Linked DNA regions of Macaca mulatta. The protein of the gene in region 1 purifies or fractionates together with the protein of each later gene. This does not show direct contact. Links are inferred from orthologs where the notes say so. Each region holds a gene or a part of one and is shown in the gene's direction. Other genes may lie near its edges.

Region 1 (3,543 bases):
TTTTCAGTGTCATTGGACATTACCAAATGATACTGAAGAGAACACTGTGAGTTCTGCATTGACATTTTTAAATTATCTTAATTGTATACTGATTCAAGATTTTATTTAGGAGCAGATGATAATGATGAAAGCAATGATCAAAAGATGGTCACCACCCATAGAAGAAATTGTTGTTAGAGCAGCATAGTTTGAATGTAGTGAGAAGGAGGGAAAAGAGTAGGATGAGATGAGGATGGGGATGTAGAAATCAGATCTTGCAAGGTCTTGTGGGCCATAATATAATTTTATGGTTTTTCAGGATCTCATTTTTGTTTTGAGAAGATCATTAGAATGATTTTGTGAAAAGTAAGTTGAGAAGGGACAAATATAGAAGCATGGAGACCATTGTGGAGGCTTTGACATTATTCCAAGAGAGACATGGTGATTCAAGCTTTATTGTGGAGGTAGAAGTGATTGATGGATTGGGGGGGGTAAGGGAAAGGAGACATCAGAGATGAATCCTTGTGTGTGGACTTAAGCAGTGGCAGTGTCATTTACTGATAAGGAAAAGATTGGATTTGGGGAGGGAAAAATCAAAATCTAATATAAAATATAAAGTTTTAGAGGTCTGTGAAGCTGTTAAGAAGGGAGTTGGAATTTAAGAGTGTGGAGTTTAGGGAGAGGTTTGAGATGGAGATGGGGCTTTCAAAGATTATAGTGTAGTTAGATGACATTTTAAAGCTCTAGGATTGGATAAAATTATTTAGGAAGACAGCATAGCTACAGAAGTAGGTAACCCAGAACTGAGGCTCCAACAAATTTAGTGGTTGAAGAAAATGTCCAGCAAGGAAGACTCAAATGCATGTAAAAAGGCTTTCAGAAGTGAAAAAAACAAAACCATAGCCCACAGCACCTGACACATAATAATCTGTCAGTAAACATGGTTCTCCATATGTTTCCCTTTCCAAGTGACACATTATATATAGTCCATACTGAAGACAGAGAAGCATGTGTCTGTTCTTACTCATTTGGCAGACATTGGTAAGTGCCTACTCTTGTCAGCCCTGAGTGAGGCACATGATCCTTGCCTTTAAGAATGTCTTAGTCTAGTCAGGGAGACTGACACAAAGCAATTAAAATATTGAATAACGTTCTGCAATAGAAATATATATAGGGTGCTTGGTGTGTGTAGAGCGAGCAGAGACCCCAATTATCAGATTCTCTGATGTCATTTGTGTTTTCTCATCAAAAGAAAATTATGTTATATTTGCTTGCAGGAACTAGTTTCAGAAGGACCAGTTCCCTGGGTTTCCAAAAACAGTGTAACATTCGTGGCTGAGCAGGTTTCCCATCATCCACCCAGTAAGTCACAGAGCTCCTCTGCAACCTCTGCTCTCCAACTGTCCTGTCTAAAGAGGGTCATTAAAAGCTCCATAGCTGAGGTTACTGTTAGTTGTGTGACTAGCTGTGTGTTTCCTATTCCCTGAAGTGGAAACTCAAGTTGATTGGTTCCTCATATCTTTTCCTTTTGTAAGCTCCAGACTCTGAGCTTCACAAATTAGGTATGTATAAAAAGAAGGAATTTAGGAAACCAACTTTTAATGCTTCCAGAGTCATCTTATATATAGTAATTTGTGCTGTAGAGACTTCAGCAACTGTGAGACAGTTTATATAAGTGATACGTAGTTTCTACACAGTGTATTCCTGGCATACTGCAGATACCAAAACCGAGGATGCTCAAGTGTCTTACATAAAATGGTGTCTTTTATATTCATATAACCTATGCACACCCTCCTGTATACTTGGGTCATCTCTAGATTACTTGTAATGCCTAATACAGTGTAAATGCTACGTAAATAGTTATTTCACTGTTTCTTTTATTTGTATTATTTTTATTTTGTATTTTATTATTTTTTCTAGACAGGGTCTTGCTCTGTGCCCCAGGGTGGAGTGCAGTGGCACAGCCATAGCTCACTGCAGCCTCCTGGGCTTCCTGGGCTCAAATGATCCTCCCACCTCAGCCTCCCAATTAGCTGGAACTATGGACGTGTGCCACCACACCCAACTAATTTTTTTATTTTTATTTTTTAGAGTCAATGTATCACTCTGTTGCCCAGGCTGGTCTCAAATTCCTGGCTTCAAGTGATCCTCCCGTCTTGGCCTCCCAAAGTACTGGGATTGCAGGCATTAGCCACTGAGGACAGCCTCTGTATATTTTAGACTCACAGTTGGCTGAATCTGTGGGTACAAAACTCATGGATATGGAGGGTCAACTGTACATACCCTCAACATCTTGTTTGTTTAGTGCAGTATTAAAACTGGAAACACTGGATGGGCCTAGGTTGGGGCTGGAGCCTGGGCATACTTGCAGACCAGAACAGATAGCCCTTTTGGTTTTAGGCTTCCTGGGTTGGCCACAGCATCATTTCAGGGATGACCCTGTCCACATGTCTCTGAATGAATGCTTGCATTGGGGAAAAGGGTATAAAAGGTAGGTACCTCCTGGCCTAATTGGAGGCTGTTTGAAGGGTAAAGGATTTCCCCATGAAGCCAGTTATTTCCCTAGGTTATGTAATTTTGGAGAGGTGGCTGTAGGTATATAATGTACTAACTGAAAATTTCTATTCAGTTTCAGCCTTTTATGCTGAGTGTTTTAACAAGAAGATACAATTCAATGCTCATATCTGGACCAAATCAAAGTTCCTTGGGATGTCAATTGGGGTGCACAACATAGGGCAGGGTAAGTGTGTTGGCACTGGGTGGACTACAGTGTTATAGGAGAATTTTATGTCATTCTAATGTGTGATGGACACTTGTCTAGTAAAAGAAAATGGCTAGACTAGATGTCATTGTTAGCAACTAAGCATTGGTATTGGGGGTGAGAGCAAGGGTGGGGAGCTAGATAGGTTATCCCTAAATTGAATGGAGTATCCATCAACTCGACAAGAAAGCCTTGTGGCCACTTGGCACTACTCATCAGAGATTCTGTCCTTTCTCTCCACAGGCTGTGTCTCATGTCTAGACTATGATGAACATTACATTCTCACATTCCCCAATGGCTATGGAAGGCAAGTGTGCTCATTTCCTGTCATCAGCAGTAGACTCTGCTGTTCCCTGAAACATGCCCCTTCCCCCTCTTCCTCTTAACTGTCAACCTTACCTAAAAATTTTGATTTTGCAGGTCTATCCTCACAGTGCCCTGGGTGGAATTAGGAGGAGAATGCAATATTAATTGTTCCAAAACAGGCTATAGTGCAAATATCATCTTCCACACTAAACCCTTCTATGGGGGCAAGAAGCACAGAATTACTGCTGAGATTTTGTAGGTATTTTTTCTGCCTTAGAGCTCTTATGCTTTTCTGAAATAATTGCCTTTTGTCTTGAACTATAGCTTCTGGATTAGGAGTGTGAAAGAATGGTTCTGTCTTTGTAAGCCTGTTTCACATTTTGTGTGTCATGTCTTTTGTTAAAATCTGGTATCAGAAGAAGACCTAAAACATATATTCAGAGCAGTCAAAGGTCATTGATAGGTTTCCTTCCTAAGAACCTGACTTGCAATGTTGA
Region 2 (2,917 bases), on another chromosome or scaffold:
GAAACCCCTGTCTCTATTAAAAATACAAAAATTATCTGGGTGTGGTGGCGGGTGCCTGCAATCCCAGCTACTTGGGAGGCTGAGGCAGGAGAATCACTTGAACCTGGGAGGCAGAGGTTGCAGTGAGCGAGATCACACTGTTGCACTCCAGCCTGGGCAATAAGAGCAAATCTCAAAAAAACAAAAAAAAATAAAACAAAAACCTTGGAGACCCACTGGCTTACAGAATTTCAGACCCTTTAGCATTTTATACACAGGCCCATCATAATTTTTTGCCATGTTAACTTTCTTGCTCCTGTCTGTTCACTATCCGTTTTAATTCCCCTAGCCCTATGGTTCTTAATTCACACTGCATGTGAATCACCTAGTGAGCTTTAAAAAGTTACAGTTTACCAGGCCTTCCCAAGACCTAATGAATCAGAATCACAGGAGTATCAAAAGTTCTGTAGATGTTTGTGATGTGTAGCTGAAACCGAGAATTACTACTGTTTTTATATAGAACTAATTAGCATGAGACCAAAAAAACCCAACTCCAGAAAATCCAGTAATGCAAATAAAACTGTGCCATTAGGTGTACTCTTTTAGTTAGTGTTTATTTATAAGCACAGTAAAACAATCATGGGAGGTAACAGACACAGATAAAGACAACTGCATAGTTAACAGGTAGTAGTATTTTTCCCAAGGTTCACATTGCACACAGTGTCGTAACAACCTCCTGTCTGGAGTGACTTCTGCTTTCTTCTGAGAAACCTTGTCCTCTAAGGACATAGTGCCGTGTGAAGCCATATCAGCAAGGATGAAGCAGCCCACTCTTGACTGGAGGATCTGTCGTTTTGACACAGAGAAGCACCCTCAGTTTCCATTCCAGGTGCAGAGCTTCAGATAAGGGTTTCCTACATACATTTCTCATCTAAATTTGTAGTTCCTGAAGAAACAGTATTCTTTCTCTGCTTTGCAGTCCAGACCTGGTGCTATCCCTTTACACACAGCCCTCTGCTTTGCTTTGAGCTTGTGAAAACACTGTGACTTAAATTTCACGCTAAACCGTTTCCTTCCCCCAAAATTCTGTGATAACCGTATCTGTGTTTTTGGCAAGAATACCCTCTTGTGGCTCTGCTGTTTCGGTTCCTTAGTTGCAGTGGGTCAGTCAACCCAACTGGCAGACTGCGGGTCTGGTAGTTTTTGACCGGGCTAGGACAGATGTAACTGATTTTAAATACCACGGGCCGCCTTGGAAGTACTCTTCTTTAATTATGTTTTTAGTGGGATTAAAATAAAAGGTAAATATAGCCATATCTGACTTTTATTTTTTAGGAATACATTTCTCAGCTCCAGTTTTAAAAAATCAGTGTTATTGAGGTATAATTTATATCCCATGGAGACACCCACTGTGAGTGTACAATTCACTGAAATACAGAACTTTATAACTGTCACTGTAGTTCAGTTTTAGAATGTCCATCACCCCGGGAAAGTTTCCTTATGTGGTTAGCAGTTAATCCCTGTTTCTGTCCCCAGCCATAGGCAACCACTAATCTACTTTCCGTCCCTATAGATTTTTAGCTCCAGTAGTCTCATTAGTATGCTTGTTTTTAAAAACCTCTTTTGTGTGTTTGTTTTTTTCCTAGGATGAAGGTTTAAGGCTCAGAAAGGTAGCACATTCGGATAAACCTGGATCAACCTCAACTGCATCCTTCAGAGATAATGTCACCAGTCCTCTTCCTTCACTTCTTGTTGTAATTGCAGCCATTTTCATTGGATTCTTTCTAGGGAAATTCATCTTGTAGAGTGAAGCATGCAGAGTGCTATTTCTTTTTTTTTTCTCTTGACCAGAAAAAGATTTGTTTACCTACCATTTCACTGGTAGTACGGCCCGCGGTGACCATTTTTTTTGTGTGTACAGCGTCATATAGGCTTTGCCTTTAATGATCTCTCACGGTTAGAAAACCCAATAAAAACAAACTGTTCGGCTCCTGGACAAATTGTATAGTACCAGATCATCACTAGCAGATGTCAGTTGCACATTCAGTCCTTTATGAAATTCATAAATAAAGAATTGTTCTTTCTTTGTGGTTTTAATAAGAGTTCAAGAATTGTTCAGAGTCTTGTAAATGTTATTTTAATAATCCCTTTAAATTTTATCTGTTGCTGTTACCTCTTGAAATATGATTTATTTAGATTGCTAATCCCACTCATTCAGGAAATGCCAAGAGGTATTCCTTGGGGAAATGGTGCCTCTTACAGTGTAAATTTTTCCTCCTTTACCTTTGCTAATATCATGGCAGAATTTTTCTTATCCCTTGTGAGGCAGTTGTTGACTGAGTTTTTCATCCTTACAATCCTGTCCCATGGTATTTAACATAAAAAAAAATAAAACTGTTAACAGATTCTTGCTCGATAGCTTGTCTGTGTCTGTCGTGTTATTGGAGGGGAGTCCACTATATATGGTCACTTGAAATTATGATGCAAAGGTTTGTCTTGCATTGAAACCCTCTCGGATATTACAGTGTTTTTAATTGAAAGTCCTAATTCTGTTCAGGAAAGGAGTTGATTAAATTTTGAGGTACTGCTGGTATTTTGGGAGATTATAACCAGTTTGTTTTCAAGATAACGGAAAATAAGGTCCATGAGAATAGAAGTTACGTGATTTCAGTGAGTTGACGTGTACAGCATGGCTGTGCTCCATCTGATTTTTACCCCATTCTTAAGTTCTGAGAGTATGTTCTCAAGGAAGATTTAACTCTCCTTGGTTTTAAAGTACTTTTTAACCAGCCTAGTAAGTCTTACTACTTTTCATAGTATTTCATAATAGTTAAAAGTAGGTGTTTTTTCCTGCCCAATTTGGCACTCAAAATAATGTTCATTATGGAAGTTTGGTAATACTGAGCAAGCCTGTGGAATTTTCTTTATGAAAAATGAT

Evidence for each region. Proteins that work in one complex are often made in the same cells at the same time.
Region 2: the proteins of OSBPL9 (region 1) and VAPA purify together in Homo sapiens (co-immunoprecipitation; 5 studies listed by BioGRID and IntAct, counting the BioPlex papers as one, with this or other methods). This does not show direct contact. The link is inferred for Macaca mulatta from reciprocal best matches to the Homo sapiens genes OSBPL9 and VAPA.

The regions. Positions count from the first base shown.
Region 1 is NC_133406.1:188,884,238-188,887,780, reverse strand, and holds part of OSBPL9 (oxysterol-binding protein-related protein 9), read left to right. Parts: coding exon 1-46; intron 47-1,256; coding exon 1,257-1,341; intron 1,342-2,608; coding exon 2,609-2,719; intron 2,720-2,983; coding exon 2,984-3,047; intron 3,048-3,160; coding exon 3,161-3,301; intron 3,302-3,543. UniProt on the Homo sapiens protein: Interacts with OSBPL11 to function as lipid transfer proteins.
Region 2 is NC_133423.1:80,914,302-80,917,218, forward strand, and holds the end of VAPA (vesicle-associated membrane protein-associated protein A), read left to right. Parts: intron 1-1,625; coding exon 1,626-1,784; 3' UTR 1,785-2,395; downstream 2,396-2,917. UniProt on the Homo sapiens protein: Endoplasmic reticulum (ER)-anchored protein that mediates the formation of contact sites between the ER and endosomes via interaction with FFAT motif-containing proteins such as STARD3 or WDR44.